Linked DNA regions of Mus musculus. Each later gene encodes a partner of the first gene's protein in a complex. Links are inferred from orthologs where the notes say so. Each region holds a gene or a part of one and is shown on either strand. Other genes may lie near its edges. The genes, in order: Map3k3 and Ccm2.

What was found.
Region 2: the proteins of Map3k3 (region 1) and Ccm2 are in contact, whole or in part, in a crystal structure (PDB 4Y5O), measured with the Homo sapiens proteins. The link is inferred for Mus musculus from reciprocal best matches to the Homo sapiens genes MAP3K3 and CCM2. Residues at the interface, in NP_002392.2 of Homo sapiens: Asp2, Glu3, Gln4, Ala6, Leu7, Ser9, Ile10, Met11, Asn12, Asp13, Leu14, Val15, Ala16, Leu17, Glu50, Asp82, His84, Met86, Asn88, Glu89, Leu90, Ser91, Ile92, Leu93, Arg117, Leu119, Leu121, Ser122, Gln123, Asp124; in NP_113631.1 of Homo sapiens: Leu299, Tyr302, Met303, Leu306, Arg307, Ser312, Gln313, Ile315, Gln316, Gln317, Phe318, Ala319, Ala320, Leu321, Leu322, His323, Glu324, Arg326, Glu333, Ile336, Asn337, Gln340, Leu341, Leu353, Phe356, Pro358.

Annotation. Positions count from the first base shown.
Region 1 is NC_000077.6:106,081,388-106,090,918, forward strand, and holds the start of Map3k3 (mitogen-activated protein kinase kinase kinase 3), read left to right. Parts: upstream 1-3,199; 5' UTR 3,200-3,542; coding exon 3,543-3,546; intron 3,547-3,574; exon of another isoform or gene 3,575-5,261; intron 5,262-9,531. UniProt on the Homo sapiens protein: Component of a protein kinase signal transduction cascade. Mediates activation of the NF-kappa-B, AP1 and DDIT3 transcriptional regulators.
Region 2 is NC_000077.6:6,589,103-6,597,194, forward strand, and holds the end of Ccm2 (cerebral cavernous malformations protein 2 homolog), read left to right. Parts: intron 1-329; coding exon 330-466; intron 467-1,650; coding exon 1,651-1,786; intron 1,787-3,964; coding exon 3,965-4,022; intron 4,023-4,499; coding exon 4,500-4,638; intron 4,639-5,045; coding exon 5,046-5,184; intron 5,185-6,978; coding exon 6,979-7,259; 3' UTR 7,260-7,659; downstream 7,660-8,092. UniProt on the Homo sapiens protein: Component of the CCM signaling pathway which is a crucial regulator of heart and vessel formation and integrity. May act through the stabilization of endothelial cell junctions. May function as a scaffold protein for MAP2K3-MAP3K3 signaling.

The DNA.
Region 1 (9,531 bases):
ACACTCACCACAAAGAACATAGTACACATACGACTGTGTGGGGAGGGAGACAGGGAGGGGAATGTCTTAGTTTGGGTTTTACAGCTGTGAACAGACACTATGACCAAGGTAACTCTTATAAGGACAATATTTAATTGGGGCTGGCTGACAGATTCAGAGGTTCAGTCCATTATCATCAAGGCAGGACACATGGCAGCATCCAGGCAGGCATGTTGCAGGCAGAGCTGAGAGTTCCACATCTTCGTCTGAAGGCTGCTAACAGAATACTGGCTTCCAGGCAGCTAGGATGAGGGTCTTATAGCACACATCCACAGTGACACATCTACTCCAACAAGGCCACACCTTCTAATAGTGCCACTCCCTGGGCCGAGCATATGCAAACCATCACGGGGAATGGATTGAAAAGTTGAGATTGATTTGAGGAATTTTTAGTGTGGCTGCAGCATGGACTTGGGGTGAGAATACTTTGTTACCTCTTTCACATTTGATTCTTTTTTTTTTTTTTTAAATGATCGGTACATGCGTGTGCCTGGTTTATATTTGTGTATGACAACATGCATGCATGGTACTTGTGGAGTTGAAATGAGGGCCCATCCCCTAGAGTTGGATTTACAAGCAGCTGTGAGCTGACCAATGTGGGTGATGGTAACTGAACCTGGGCTCTCTTCTCTGCAAGAGCAACAAGCACTCTTTACTGCTGAGCTCTCTCTCCAGCCCCTATTTGACTCATCTTAAAACTGATGGGTTATAATATTTGTAAATAGGGTTCTCTAGGATCATGTTTCTGATAGAAAGTCTGTGGTGTGAATACACTTTAAGTAAATGAAGTAAGAGATGTTGATGGTTTGAACTGGGCTAGCGGAGCTAGGGTGAAAGAGAGGCAGAAGGACTGGAGACCTGATCACTCGGTGTCTTCCTTGGGGAACTGATGAGCAGAGGAAATGTGAACAGTGGAGGGAAGCGATGGGTTCAGTTTGGACCTGTAGAATGTGAGGTGCCTGTGGAATGCTCAGGAATGTTGCCTCGGGAGCTTAGAACCAAGACCTGCCTGAGCTGGAATCCTCAGCACACAGGGTAACTGCAGCATGGAAATGTTTGACTTCAGTGGCTGAGGGACAAACAGTGGGAATCGAATTCACAAGAAAGGCATCTGAAGGAAAGGCAGAAAGAGGAAGCTTACTAGCTCAGTCATTGGAGAGGCTAAGTGAGATTACATGGCTGGGATCTAGTAAATAGCTGGTGTTTTTCCCTATTGTTTCTTCACCAGAAAAAAAAAAAAAGATTATTCTATTTCAGGCACTTCAGTAAATTAGGGACTTCTTTGTTTTGTTTGTTTGTTTGAGACAGGGTTTCTCTGTGTAACCCTGGCTGTTCTGGAACTCACTCTGTAGACCAGGCTGGCCTCAAACTCTGAAATCTGCCTGCCTCTGCCTCTACCTTCCAAGTGCTGGGATTAAAGGCGTTCACCATCATTACCCGGCATAAATTAGGGACTTAATCAAGTGAGAATATGAGACTTGAGAGTTTGAAGAAAAACGAGTTAGATACAGTGGCACAGGCCTTTAATTTTAATCCCAGTACTCAGGGGGTAGAGGCAGATAGATCTGTGAGTTTCAGACCAGACTACAAAGAAGTTCCAGGACTACAGAGAAACCCTGTCTCGGAAAACAAAAAAACAAAAAAACAAAAAAAAAAGTTCCAGGACAGTCTAGGTTAGAGACTCTGTCTCAAACAACAAACACCTCGTACACACACACACACACACACACACACACACACACACACGAGAGAGAGAGAGAGAGAGAGAGAGAGAGAGAGAGAGAGAGAGAGAGGACAATAAAGTTAATAGTATGGGTTGAGAGTGGGGATGAAGAAAAAGAATTGCGTAAGACACTCCTTAAGAGATCTGATACTCCAAAGCCACCTCCTAAGGTAAGTGTTTCTAAATGACAACTGAAAATGGCATCAGATTTTTCTGGAATCTGAAATATGTCATTGGAACTGTCTCCAGAGAAAGGGAAGCCACACTAACTGTGGTAGAGTTGGAATCTTAAGACTGGGTGTATGAATTATTGAAACAATGGAGGTTGAAAAAGTTAATCACAATGCTCTTTTGAAAGATCACACAGCCAGTACAATTGTTTTGAGACAATATTTAGTGGCACAGGAAGCACAAAAGTGTAAGCACACCAGAAAACAATATGAAGTTATTTTTTGTCTAACGTTGCATATCTAGGTAGGAAATAGATAAAACTATCTTCAGGGTAGGGCTTTTCTTTCTGTTTTCCTGCACTTTTAAGTTTTCTTTTAAAAACGTGTCTCGCTTTTATAATTCTAAGAGCAAAACTTGTCCAAAAGCAACTCTAGCAGAACTCAGAATGTGGGGACCCACATTCCAGCACTAGCCTAGCCTTTGAAGACGGAGTATCAGGTGTGGCCTCGGAGGTCTGAGACCCAGGGGGATGAGAGAAGTAACAAGACCATCCCCCTGCCTGTAAGCCGAGGCTACTCAGGGTATCGCGCAGCTCAAGTAGCCTGAAAGCATCGAGCCAAACCTTCCCTGCCCAATCCGCGCCAGACACTTTGCCCCAGCAGGGGCCGGACACCTCAGCACCTCGAGGTCGCCAACAACCGACAACCATAGGGCCGAAGGTTTTCTTTTTCTGAGGGCCTCTACAGAAGACGACTTTGCAAGGCGCCAGGCCGGGGTAGCCGCCGAGGGGAACGGCGCCAGCCCGCGCGCCCGCCGAGGGTTCCGCAACTGAGCAGAGGGTTGTGGGCGGAGCCTCAAGCCGGAGCAGTGATTGGAGCAGCCCACACCTTGGCCAGAGAGGCTGAGAGCGCCAGCTAGCGACACTCCGCGGCGGGTACTCAGCGCTCTCTCCGTGATTGGCTAGGCGCGAGAGGACGGGCGCTGTCTCAGTGATTGGCAGGCTCTAGCCAGCCCTCGGAAATCGCCTTGACTTCGCCCATTGGCATCCTGTGAGAGTAGGCGGGATTGGTCCGTCGTGATTAGCTGGCGGATGAGAGTGAGGGCGTTGGGAGAGAGCGGGGAGGAGGAGGCGGGAGTATCTGACTTCCTCCTGGTTATTGGCTGGTAATGAGAGTGGGGGTAGTGCCAAGGCCCAGCGGCTGCATGCGATTGGCAGATGCTGGCATGAGTGACAGGCTGCAAGGCTTGCTGCGCGCCCAGCGGTTTGTTTTTCGGAGCGTTCCTGAGGTGGAGAACAGTGGCCGGTCGGAGCGTCTTCTGGACTTCAGGACTCGCAGGCGGCCCGGTCGAGTGGCGCCGCCGAGGCCGGGTTGGGCCGAGCCTGGGAGCGCCGGGGATGTAGCGGGCCAACCTGCTCATGCCACAGCGCCCGGCCGCGGCCGGAGCCGGAGCCTGGGGAGGCGGCGGGGGCCCCGAGCGCAGCCCACGGCCCCCGCGCGGAGCCAGGCCCGCTGCCGTCCCCGCCGCCCGCTCCCCCGGCATGCAGCCCCGGCTGCGGAGGTGACACTTCTGGGCTGTAGTCGCCACCGCCGCCTCCGCCATCGCCACCATGGGTGAGTACCGCCACCGCCCCGGCCTGTGCCCGCGCTGCTTCGCGACGCCCCGCCCCAGGCTGAGGGGAGGAGGACCCTGGGCCGCCGCCTGACAAGGCATGGACAGTTCGCCGGGCCCGGGGCTGAGGATCGCGGACCGCTCGCCTCTCCGCGGTGCCTCGATCGGGGCGCCGTTCTGGCTACCTCCGGGGGTGCCCTACCGGCCAAACCCACTCGGCAACTCTCTTTCCGGGCATGCGGCCGGCGTATCCCGGGGAGGGGTCTGCGGGACCGAGGCCCGTCGGGCGGCCCACTGCGGTCCCCAGCGAGCTGGCGCGCGAGCTTGAGGGTGGGGGAGCCGGAGCTCAGTGTGGGGCCGGGGCTGGAGCCTGGTGCAGGCCCAGCTGCTGTTGTGTCTTTTCCTTGATTTGCTTTTTTTTTTTTTTTTTTTTCCTGCCTGTGTCATTTCCTTCCCTTTGCTCACACAGGCTGGCCTGTGAGTTCCCGGGGCTTTGCTCTGGAGCTCTGTGCGCTCTCCTGCGCGGGGGAGGGGGACGCGGGGGGAGGGTATGCGGGGCATCCACTGCGACGCTATTCGACGCGGATCCCTGTTAGCAATAGCAGGCTTGAGAAATGCGAGCTGCGCTCCTCGCAGATTACTGGAAGTTAAGAATCCTTGAGCGCTGAGGGTTATAACTCAAACCCTACTTTTGGAAAAACCCGGCTTTTATATTTATCCTGCGCTACCCCTGCAACTATGTAACTTTTTGAAAGAGGCATTCGGTACATAAAAGGATCACTATGAAATCATTTCCTTTTTGTCAGTATTTGTAATTCTCCTGTGAAGATGTAATCTAAGAAAAGTTTTTTTAATGCCTTCTACAAAATATTTGAGCTGTTTTATATATATTTTGCATAATTTTGGTTCTTTATCAAAAAGTCTTGGACTTAGCTAAGGAATGTGTGACATTTTAAATATATTTTGCTTCCCCAGTTGGGGCAGGTATTGTGATGCTCATTTTCCTGGTCTCAATCAGGTTTTGCAAAAATATTTAGTATTATTCTAAGTCAGAAAGGGGTGAAATTTAGTGAAAGTCTCCTTTGCAGAAGTATTCATTGCTTGTGTGAGTGCTCCATAAGATGAAATGCTAATGTTTGTTTTGCCCTAAAGCAAGGTCAAGTCATTTTTGTAGGAGGTTTTGTGGGTGCAGTAGCAAATTGGCCAGATACTCGATTGTGGTGGAACTCCTTACTCTGGCTTTAAGTTAATTGCTTTGTTCTTTATCAGACTGCCCCTCATACAGTATGGGAAGGATTTGTTCATTTGCTGGGTTTTCTATTCCCTTTCCATGCTATATTTCAGATTTTTTTTTCTATAGAACTCTCATCTGAGAGACACCAAAGGAAACTAGTAAGGATTTACATTTCAACATTTATTTATTCACATGTCTAATACAATATATTCCAATAAATGTTTATGGAATGCTTATTATATGGGGCACATATTTCCTTATATATTATTGGGGAACAGAATTCTTTTTATCCTTCCCTGTTTCCCCACATTTACCTACTGCTACAGACTTTAAGCTAGATCTTTGAATTATGGACCTGTATTGTAATAGTCTTATACGCTTTCCTTCTTGCCCGGTGTGTGAGCCTTAAGTCGCAAACGGGAGTATGAGACCCTTGAGGATATACAGACCTCACATGGAACACTTTGGTTGTAAAACCAGTGTGTGAGTATCCAATAATGACGGCAACGTCTCATTATCTAGTATGAAAATAGAGGAGAGCCTGTTTTCAAATTTGAAGATGTTTTCAGCTAGTGTATGAACATGTTTTCGGAAAGGCCTTGCTGGGAGGAAAGAAACTCCGTGGGTAAAGTCCCAAAGGAAAAAGAACAGGGAGCATGGTGTCTTTTTATTTGAGCCCATGTCACTTTTTAAATGTATTTGTGTTTCCAGTGCTGGGCATCAAACCTAAGTCTTGTGAAGGCTAGGCAGGCATCTGTCACTGAGCTCCGTCCCTAGCATTCTCTTAAATACCTTTGCTTTCCTCTCTCTGTCTTTCTCTCACATTTAAAAAATTATTTATTTTTATTTCATCTGCATTGGTGTTTTGCTTGCATGTATACCTGTGTGAGGGTGTGAGCTACAGACAGTTTTGAGCTGCTATGTGTGTGCTGGGAATTGAACCCAAGTTGTCTGGAAGATCACCCTGTATGTCTTCTTAACTTCTAAGCCATCTCTCTAGCTCTTTCTTTCTTCCTTTTTTGTTTTTGTTGTTTGTTGTTGTTCTGAGATAGTCTTCTTGTGTAGTCCTAGCTACCCTGGAACTTGCTGTGTAGACCAGGCTGTTCTTAAATTTATTGTAATTCCTGTTTCCTCAGAACCTAATAAACAAACAAACTCAAACATTTAATAAAGAAGAATCTAATTTCTTAATATTTTCATTACATTTAAACTCCAGGCCAGTGACTAGAGGCTAAAATTAATTTGCATATCTGCTCTGCAGATACTTTAATCCATAGTCATATTTTCCTGAGTGGTTCTATGCTCCAGACTGAAGCCTGTTTGACAACTTGACTTATTAGTAAAAACAGGTCAGATTTTATATTGTCTGTTAGCCTCAGCAAAAGTCTAGTGGATGCTGCAACTTATCCTTGTAAAAAGTGGGAAATCTTTGTTTAGTTTTTTGGCTTTGAAACTGTGTGACTATTGAAAAATTTTTTTTCTTGGACATACTAGAATTTCCTCCAGTAATTATAGTAATGCTGTTAATAATTCCTGGGACTTATTTGTTCTTGTTTATTTGTTCTTTTTCTAAATATAACTTGAAGCTTAGGGGAATGTATTAAAACTGGGTAAGGACTTGGAAATATTACAGGAATCTAGGGAACTGAATACAGGATTAAAAATGGTTGGTTCTGGATTGACAACTTGGTTTGAATTGTAATAATTATAACTTACAGAACTAGGTTTGAGTTTTTATGGTTCCAAGGCTTTTGGGAGAACCTAAGAACAGTCTCAATATGTCTAGACTGTAGTAAGCTCAGCATGATTAACAACTGTTTTGAGAGAATCTTGAATCACAGTTTAATAAATTAACATGCCTATATCATGAGTAGATTTTGATTTTTCTTTCCTTTTTGTTGTTGTTGTTCTCCTCCTCCTCTTCTTCCTCTTCCTCCTCCTCCTCCTCCTTCTTTTTTAGGGTTTATTTTTATGGGGCTGGAGAGATGGCTCAGTGGTTAAGAACACTGACTGCTCTTCCAGAGGTCCTGAGCGCAATTCCCTTACAACCATCTGTAATGGGATTCGATGTCCTCTTCTGTTGTGTCTGAAGACAGTTTTTTTTTTTTTTTAAGATTTATTTTTATTTATATGCATGTGTTTGTGTGAATGTCAAAAGAGAGATCTATCAAAGCTGGAGTTGCAGGAAGTTGTGAGCTGCATGATGAGGGTGAGGGTGCTAGGAGCTGAGCTCAGGTCCTTTAGAAAAGTGGGACAAGCTCTTACCCGCTGAATGACCTCTCCTGCTCCTGATTCTTGTTTTTGAGACAGGATCTCAGGGCATCCATACATGTCTCGTGTAGAATTTTGACGTAGTATTAAATTATTTCTTTTAACGTGTAATGTGTTTTACCTGCAAGTGTGTGTGTGTGTGTGTGTGTGTGTGTGTATGTGTGTGTGTGTGTACATACTACATGTGGGCCTGGAGCCCTCAGTCTGGAAGGGGATGTCAGATCCCATGAAACTAGAATAACATACTGTTGTGAGCTGGCATGTAGGTGCTGGGAATTAAGCCTCTGTTCTCTGGAAGAACAGCCAGAGCTCTTAACTGCTGAGCCATCTCTCCCAGCCCTGACTTTTGATATTTTTTTAAATGACAGTTGTGGGTGGAAAAGACAGTTTAGTGAGTAAGAGTGCTTGCCCAGCAAGCATAAAGACCTGAGTCTGAGTCTGTGGCATCTGCATTAAAAGCTAGGAAAGGCTTTAACCTGTAACCCCAGCATTGGGGGAGAAGGCATGTAGCTCTTGAGAGCTCCCTGTTTGGCTAACCAGCTTAGCTGAAATGGTGTACTTCCAGTTCAGTGAGGGACCCCATTTTAAGACAGAAAGGTAAAGCGCACCAAGTGTTCTGCTCTCCACATGTATATGCACAGGTGAGCCCCTCATGTGCACACCCACAAGTACACAAAAAAATTAAGGATAAATAAATGAAAAATAAAAAATGATAGTGTGCAATTGTTCACAAGAAGAGACCATTCTGTATTTTAAGAGTTGGGACACACACACACACAAAACACACATGTAATATAATATAGTCTCTAGTCTTTTAAGTTAGTTTCACCAAGTGTTAAAATATAATGACAAAGGGCTGGCTTAGTAAGGTGCTTGCTATGCAAGTGTGAAGACTTGAGGTTTAAATCCCTGTTACCTATGTGAAAAGCCAGGCGTGGTGACTTGTGCCTGGGCAGGTCTTCAGGAGGATTCCTGGTGCCTGCTGGCCAGCCATCCTACATGAGTGAGAGATCCTGTTCCCCAAAGTTTGGAGAGATGTACAGGAAGATGCCTGATATCAACCTTTGACTTAGAGAGGCACATGCACAAGACCTGCAGATGCATACACACAAAGGGTGTAAAGTGGTGATTCTATTGATTCTTACTAGCAAGCAGTGCTTTACTTTGTAATATGCATTTGAGCCATTAACTTTGGTAGATTGTTATATCTCCTAGTAATAGAACAATACACATTTAACTTTTTGGTTTTTTGAGACAGGGTTTCTCTGTATAGCCCTGGCTATCCTGGAACTCACTCTGTAGACCAGGCTGGCCTCGAACTCAGAAATCCGCCTGCCTCTGCCTCCCAAGTGCTGGGATTAAAGGTGTGCGCCACCACGCCCGGCTATATTTAACTTTTAAATAAAAAAATTAAATACTGTACTTTTAAAAGTTTTCATTATCTTTAAAATTTTGAAGAAGAGTTGAGACAGTCTTAACCTGTAGCTGGCTGGCCTACAGCTCACTATGTAGAGCAGCGTAGCTTGGAATTCACAGAGATCTGCCTGCCTCTGCTTCCTAGTTGGTAGGGTTACATATGTGAGTCGCCACTCTTGGCTTCAACCATTGTCTGTTGTTGTTGTTGTTTTTTTTTTAAACTGGGTCTCATGTGGCCTACACTTGGCTCAAACTAAACTTGCCCATGAACTGGTATGCACTGTGCTTGGCTGAACCATGTTTTTTTAAAAGTGTGTCTATCTGTGTGAGTGTGTGTGCAAGAGTGTGTGTGTGTGCACCAACATGTGGAGGTTAAAGGACAGCTTTTGTGAGTCACTTCTTTTCTTCCACAGTGGATCTAAGCATTAGGCTTGCATGGCAAGAGATTTTAAAGGCTGAGTCCCTCACCCTTGTTCTTGAAGAAGAAATTTTTTTGGATCGAAGATGGGGTTTGGTTGTGCATACTTACTGTAAATTATTTTTGCCAGTGAGGAGGCCAGACCTGGGAGGACTGGGAAGTAAGTGTGGTGGGGTGCATGCTGTCAGATTCCCAAACAATCAATAAAAATATAATGGAAAATTTTTTTTTTGTCTGAATATGGTCAGCGTAGAGGCAGTGGAAATACATGAAATGTCATGAAGAGAAAGTAAAATCTGACTCAGGGACTCTGGAGCACAGACTCTTGAGTTGAACAGTATGATCAGATGACCTGGCAGAGCTAAGACAGAGCCTTGGCAAGATGAAGAAATAACATCATTACTTAAGTGAAAACAAAAATTGAAATTACTTTAGACTGGGTGTGGCAGAGCACTCCTTTAATTCCAGCACTTGGGAGAAAGGCAGGTGGTAAACCTGGTCTGAATAGCAAGTTCCAGGACAGCCAGGGCCACCTTGTCTTAAAAAACTGCGACCAACAAAATATTACTTTGGGGATTTGTAAATGTGGAAAAGAGATTGTTTGTCTGTAGGATGACAATGTTTATTATAAGACATGGTGCTTCCTGT
Region 2 (8,092 bases), about 99 Mb from region 1:
GATTTTTTTTTTTTTTGCTTTTCAAATTTTTTTTATAGATTTATTTTTATTTTATACACACGCACGCACACACACCATGCTGTGCTGGCGTGAACACCTGTGCCGTGGTGTGCATGTAGAGGTCAGAGGACAGCTGGGTGGAGCTGCTTCTCATCTTCCACCATTATTGGGTTCCTGGGGATGGCGCTCAGGTTGTCGGCCTTGCATGGCGAGTGCTTTTGCACTGAGACATCTCACAGGCCCTGGGGAGTGAATGTTCTTGCTGGTACCTCAGCTGCCCTCGTGCCTGCCCTCCATGCACTGCACTAACTGATGTGTTTACTTCTCAGCCCAGGACCCAGGCATCTCTCCCAGCCAGAGTCTGTGTGCAGAAAGTTCTAGAGGCCTCAGCGCAGGTTCCTTGTCAGAAAGTGCAGTGGGGCCAGTAGAGGCATGTTGCCTGGTCATCATGGCCACAGAGAGCAAGGTGAGACCTCCCTGTTGTGTACCAGAGCTGTCCAAGCCTTGCCCGAGACCCAGCACATCCTGGTCCTACCTGTGATTAGAGGCTGCCTTGCCTCTAGCCCAGCCCTACCCAAGATCCGACGCCAGCCTTAGAATCCTGGCTCTAGCCAGCCCTTCCTTCTGCTCTGTCTAGCACTACTTCACACATTGTCCCTTCCCAGAGTTTCTCCCTGACCAAGCCCTGTCCATGACCTAATAAATGTCCCTACCTATAACCACAGCTGCCCACACTCCCAGGTTCCAGAGGGTACCTCCCATACCCAGTTCATCTACCTCACTCCCCTCTGCCAGCCTTGCCCATAGGCTCTCTTGGCCAGTCCTCAAGCACCATCCCCAAGATGGTCAGTAGAGCGTTTGCTTACCAGTCTCCTCTTTGGAATGCCTCTCCCCACTCTCACACTGACTGATAGTGATGGCTACAGGCATGGCGACCTGTATACCACGCCCTCCTGGTACTTCAAACAAAGATAGCGTTTCCTCAGCACATGGCAGTCACAGCGGCACAAAGATGAGCCGTGGAGCCTCAGGACTCACTTGACATCTTCCATGCAGTTTTTGCCTCTTGCTTTCATTGACTAATGGTGACTTCCCACCTAAATGTCCTCTGGCTCACCTCACTTAGCCTACGTGCTAGTGATGCTCTCAATCAAATACTTTGTTGTGGGCAGCTACCGAAGCACTGCAGAGTCTGAGCAATGTCCCCAGATACTGTTCTACGGTTCTGGACAAAATTAACCCTCTAAAGAAGCCCTGTTTTAAACAGCACACTGTTACAGAAGGACGCTACTTCTTTTGGAAATGTCTAAGGTTGGAAGTGAGACCAGGATGTCTTCTCTCTCTTACTTGGGCTTAGATGGGAATTTTGAACATTGATGACCAGTTACCGGAAGAGGAGGCAAAGCTGATGCCAACACCCGTGGCCTTCAGATGCCTGTAAGGGCCACACTGGGCCATAGTCTCTTCTCAGGCCTGTTTCTGTTTTGTGATACCCTGGGCTGTGACAGGCACTGGGCCCTTTGGTTCTGGTCTGCTCCCCATTTATATTGTTGGTGCCTCTGAGACATTATGGGTACCCTAGAGACTGTGGGAAAGTGCTGTCTGCAGCGTTAGCCACTGAGGACGGTTGCTGTTATTCACTCACTCTAGGTCGCCGCTGAAGAGTTGTGCTCCCTGCTCAGCCAGGTCTTCCAGATTGTTTACACGGAGTCCACCATCGACTTTCTGGACCGAGCAATATTTGATGGGGCTTCCACACCTACCCACCACCTGTCGCTGCACAGTGGTATGTTGAATGGAAGGGGCCGGCTAGGGGTCATGAGCAGTTCATCTGGAAGCATAGGTTCCCAGACAGGGATGCTGGGGAACTGGGTAGGTGGGGCCCGTTTTGGGGGCCTTTTGGTATGCCCGAGCAGCTCTCAGCGTGTGGCCCCTTGCAAGAGCACAGCGAGATGCTTGAAGTTGTTCTGGCTTTGTGAAAGGCCGAGACCAGGAAACTGGAGAGTGGCAGGGCCGTACCTCTGCACCACGATAAAGGCTAGTGGAAGTGCTGTGCAGACCTCCTGCTAGTCTGTAGATACTTCCTGTCTGGGTGTGGTGACATATCTGTTATCCTAGAACCCAGGAGATAGAGGCAGGAGGATTGCTACAAGTTTGAGACCAGCCTGGGCTACGTAGGCAGACCCTGTTTTACAGTAGCACACTTCTTACCTGAGTTACATTTCTCACTGCGGTACCTAATACCTAACAAGGTGCAGTGTGAGGGAGGGATGGTTATGGCCTCCCCTCATGATGAGGAAGCCACAGCTGGAGGGGGAGGCATGGTGGCAGGTGTCAGAAGGCTCTGTAGCATTTGTGGTTGGGAAACCAGGAGGGAGAGGAGCAAGTGGGGCTAGGTTGCAACACATCAAAGCTAGTGACCCCTTTCTTCAGCAAAACTCCATAGATTTCTCATACAGTGCCACCAGTTGGAGATTAAACGTTCAAACCCATGAGTGTTGAAACAACCTGTGGGAAACAGTTGACATTCAAACCAGTTGCTGGAGGCCCATCCCAGCATGCAAATGGCAGTCAAGTGATGCAAAATGAATTCATTCTAACTTCAGAAGTCCCTGTGGCCCTTGACAGTCCCAGTACTGTTCAAAAGTCCAGTCTCTCCCCAGAACACATGACAGACCTTTACCAAAGCCAGGTTACATACTTTGAATCCACTTCTAGGACACAGTGGCACAGGGTGAACATTTTCCCTCCAAAAGGAAGGATGGGGCAGAGCAGGGAAAGATCAAAGATCTGTAAGACCAAAACCAAGTGGGAAGCAACAGTATCTGGGCACATGGTGGGATAGCCCCAGCTCCAAGGGTCTCTGGCTTTTTTTGTCTGCAGCTCACAGCCTCTTTCCTGGGATGGCTACGATCAACAATCTAGCTTTCTTTCACAGACATGCCTTAGTTTCTGGCCTCTGCAACATCCTGAGGTCTGTGCTGCAACGTAGGCTTTACCTTCACAGCCCCAAACCGTGGTGTCTCATCCCTGGGCTTCCTTGTAGGGTTCTGATCCTGCTAAATGTTGCTTGGCTTTAGCAGCTTTCTGGAACCATGGTATAAGTTACCACGGCCCCTCAGTCTTGCATTTTTCATGCCTCTATCACCAATACCATGTGGACAGTACTGTCAAGTTGTACCCCAGCTCTTGGACCTCATGGACCACCATGGCAGCAGCATACACTTTGTTGGGTAATTGTTTTCAAGGAACACAAAGTCTCTTCAGCTTTATTTGAGGTCTTCCTGTCCTCCTGGGTAGAGTGGTGAGCAGTACCCTCACTGAAGCCTAATGCTGTTCCACCTTGAAATTTCCTGTTACATAAATACATTAGTTCAGGACATGAGCAGAGTGCTACCAGCTCCTATACCAGGGTGTAACCTGAATGGCCTTTAACCTAGTTCCCAATAGAGCCTATTCCATACCTGAAACATATGAGCAGTTTTCACCATGTCCATTTCTGTCACCATTCTGGTTTTCCAAACTGCTACCAGAGTGTCCCATTAAGCCCTAAGTTCTAGGCTCTTCCACATTCTTCCTACCGGCCAGTTTCCAAGGCCTATGAACCACACACTCAGGTTTGTTTCTGCAAAGGCCCTATCCTGATACTATAATCTGTTAGTGTTCTTTAGGGAACAAACCCACAGAATGAATATATACTACAAGGGGGTTCATTGGATTGGCCCACACAACACAGGCTGGGTAGTCCAGCAGTCCGTCTGCACAATGAAAGGCTGAATTCCGCACCTGCTCAGCCTGTGGCGCTGGGTGAGGCTGTCATGTGAGGGAGAGCTCAACATGGCTTCCTGTGTGTCAGTGGGAGGCGAGGCCATTGGGAAAGGCAGAGATATACGTGTGGTGAAGATTAAGGAAGCCTCTAGGGCAGCAGTTCTCACCCTCTGTGTCCTCTACGTCTTTTGCACAGATGACTCTTCCACGAAAGTGGACATGAAGGACAGTTACGATGCTGACGCCAGCACCTTGTGAGTACACGCACTAAGTGCGTCATCAAATGCTGGGTCTTCCGTGTCTGCTCTCTAGCTTGGCCCTGCAAGTCCTCTTAGCTACAGAGTCTGCCTCTAGGCCCTGTCAGTCCTTTCTCATCCCTACCTTCCACAGAAGTAACCTTGGAAAAGGCACAAAATGGTGATGCCGGGCAGCCTTCTAAAGCCTGTTAGCCCAGCCAGAGCATTCGCGCAGCCTTCCTGACCCTCTACTGCTGTCTGTCAGCTCTGGCTCGGCCTTCTGCCCTAGCTCTCCCTCCCTTTGCCCATTTGAGAGTCACTCAGGTTGGCTGGCTCCTGAGATCTCCTTTATCTCCATGTGTGGCTTATGCACAAGCAGTCCTCCTTAGTCGGTGTTCGTGCTTGTATTTGTGAGCAGGCCTGTCGGCCCCAGCCCACAGCAGCCACAGGAGGTTGGGTTGTGAGGCCACCCACATTGAACCTTGTGCTTTGCAGCTGCTTCCCGGACTCTGGGGATGTGGGAGGCCTGCCGCCCTTACCCTTCTGCATGCAGACATCACCCCATAGCAAGACTGTCAGTGAGAGCGAGCTGAGCACCAGCGCCACGGAACTGCTGCAGGACTACATGCTCACGGTAGGCAGTGGCCTCCTCACTCGCCTGGCTTTACTATTGGGTCTGGGGGGGCGGGGGAGGTCTGGGGGCCTGAGTTGGTGCTAGGCTGTTTGGTCTGGACCATGCTGGTACTGATTCGAAACAGCAGCTCTGCTGGTGCCTGGGCCTGATGCCTCTGTTTGAAGTCAGCCTTCTGGTTCTGTGTACCCCCAGGTCACCCTGTGTACCCTTGCTGTTCCACGCAGAGCTAGCTTCATTCTCTTTAGCCCTACTGAGGAACCTTTTGTTTCAAGACAGCAGATCTGTGTTTGCCCTGGTTCCTTGTGTAGCTCCTCTGTTGGCCCTGATGACAGACACATGGTGGCATTCTACCTCTACAGCAAGGCCACACTAAGCCCTCCTTACTCTGCACTTCTGTTCCCTCACAGTTACGTACGAAGCTGTCATCACAGGAGATCCAGCAGTTCGCAGCTCTGCTACATGAGTACCGCAATGGGGCCTCTATCCATGAGTTTTGCATCAGCCTGCGGCAGCTCTATGGGGACAGCCGCAAGTTCCTGCTACTTGGTGAGTGGGGCACGGAGGGCCGCTGGTCCCCTCTGGGAATGTGCAGAGTCCAGAAGGGAGGAGCTCCATCCCATGGGTCTCATCATAGCTTGGCTGAGGCTGCAGGACTGGCATAGGTACTTGGAAGGGCCCTTCTCCTTCTACTCAGAGCCTGAGCCTTGAGCTGAGCTGGTTGGGCTCTGCCAGGAAGTGAGAGAAGGCCCTGAGACTGAGTCTAAACAAAACCATCAGATCTCAACTGTGCTGCTGGCAAGAGTCCAGGCTCTTTAAGGGGGTACCTTTGTCAGTGGGTTTTGGGGAACAGGTAGAAATTTGTTGAGTGGAGAAGCAAAGACACCAACTAGACAGAAGGCGCCTCTCTTGTACATCTTTGTGCAAGACTCACAAAGTGCCTGGCACATCCTTCAGAGCCACTGCCAGTCTCGGTGTAAGGCTGCCACAACAGCCTCGGTGGAAGGAACAGTGCTGCCACATCAGCCTCCCCTCTGTGTCGTCCCCTGCTTCCAGCAGTCAGAACAGTGAATGGCTCAGCTCACAGAAAGCTCTGAGGGTCTTCCTGTGCTCTAGTAAACCAGGGAGGCCAGCTGGTCTTATGTTGTATAGGCCCGGTGAGCATCAGCATCAGCATCTACCTGGGGCTGTCTGTGGTGAGGAAGGACTAGAGACTAGACGTAGTCTGAGCACCTCACTCCCTGCAGGATCAGGTACCCAGCAAGGCTCACATTCCAGGTCCCTGGCATCTAGCCCAGAATGAACATTCAGAAGCCTGAAGCCAGCTTCTTCCCATTTTGTTCTCGGCTGCTACCTCTATGTCCGAAATGGCAACAGAGCCAGGCACGACAGGACCCAGATGTAATCTGAGCACTTAGGAGACGTGAGGCAGGAGGATAGCAAGTTCAAGATTAGCTTTGAGCTATATAGTAAGAATCTCAGAAAAAGTAGGTTGGAAGAAAGTTGAGCTGTGGATACCTGCTGCTTAGAGTCCTGTGTCTGGCACTGTTTCTAGGCCTCTCTACCACCTCCTGGCCCCCACCTAAGCAGGCTTTTGTAGGAATACAGAGTCTCATGCAGGTCAGGCTGGCCTCAAACTCTCTGTGTAGGGGAGGGTGACCTTGAGCGCCTTAGCTTCTGTTTCCTGCGTTCTGAAATTAGTAGTGAACATGATATGTCAGGGTTCTCTTAAAGGCTCCACCTCAGGAGAATGCGGTCTGTAAACTCATCTGATGTGTTCATGAAACCCTTATCCTGGCTGGGTGGGGGCCCAGCCTGCCTGCCCACATCAAGGTTTGGGATTCTGAGATAATGGTCTTCCTGAGTAGGACTGGTTTCGGCATGAGTCCTGGCTCTGAAGACAGACCTCATTGCCAATAGCTTTGTGGCTTTTGCATTCTGTCCTGTTAGATAGGGGCTTCGAGGGTCTGATGGCTGATGCCATGCCTCAAAGCTAGAGGGTGAGATTGATAGAAGGCAAGCTATTCATAGCTGGGGCCCTTGTCAGTCAGGTTTAATTAAACCTGGCTCCAGGGCACAGCTTGTGTGGTGTGGGGGTCCTGAGCCCCCTCTGGGGTTGGGGTCCTGAGCCCCCTCTGAGGTGTCACTCTGGGGTTGGGGTCCTGAGCCCCCTCTGAGGTGTCACTCTGAGGTGGGGGTCCTGAGCCCCTCTGAGGTGTCACTCTGGGGTGGGGGTTCTGAGCCCCTCTGAGATGTCACTTTGGGGTTGGGGTCCTGAGCCCCTCTGGGGTGTCACTCTGAGGAGTCACTCTGAGGTATCACTCTCGGGTTGTGTGTTGCCAGGTCTCAGACCCTTCATACCTGAGAAGGACAGTCAGCACTTTGAAAACTTCCTGGAGACCATTGGCGTGAAAGACGGCCGTGGCATCATCACTGACAGCTTTGGTAGGCATCGTCGTGCCCTGAGTACCACCTCCACATCCACCATCAATGGGAACAGGACCACAGGCAGCCCTGATGACCGCTCTGCGCCCTCAGAGGGGGATGAGTGGGACCGCATGATTTCAGACATCAGTAGTGATATTGAAGCGCTAGGCTGCAGCATGGACCAGGACTCAGCGTGAAGGAGCGGGACAGCACACACTTGTCTCACACAGCCATCCCAGGCCTTCCTGGGAGGAGTGCCCAGACCTGAGTGCCAGCCTTTCCCAGCTTGGAGCTAGGGAGGGGCTGAAGAGAAAGGTAGCTCTGGTGGCCAGGTCCTCTACTGTGAAGGAGTGGAGAGCTGCCACAGGACATGTGCCCCACAGGGCAGAAACCTCTGTGCCTATTCCTCAGGGGCTCAGCAATGCCTGTAGCATATCCCCACTCGGGGAGGGCCAGGGGCAGCTGGCAGGGGAGCCAGTCCTGCCGGCCTGGCCCTGGACAGCTGATATTTGCACATGACTTTCCTCTTCTACTTCTCAGAGACCTTAAAAACAAGTTTACTGCAATGTGAATAATTTAATCTCCAGTTGTCAAGCATTTTTTTTCCTATTCTAATTGGTTGAAAGCCATGTTGTCACAAGTGGGGAGGGGTCTATTCTGGCCCCTGTCTACTGGATCATGACTGCCCATAGCATCCTGGGCTGGGGTAGAAGAGATGACTGGTACTTCTGTTTTGGCTCTGTGGACAAGGGACAGGAGCAGGCATGTTGGTATCTCGTACACGCCAGGGCTGCCTTGATCTATGCATTCTGTGTATAGATTATTCCAAGGACAGTCCCATGCTCTGTCCCTGTCCCTAAGCCTCCTTGATGGTCAGAAGTGCACTGTATAAGGAAGAGGGCAGCCTACGAGCTGAGAGTCGGGGCTGCTGGAAGGCTGATGTGGGTCCTGTGGCCCTCACTCTGTCCCCTGCCAGTCAGCTCCTCACTTCCTGTCAACTTCATTCTGGCCTCTACCCTCTAGTCCCTGT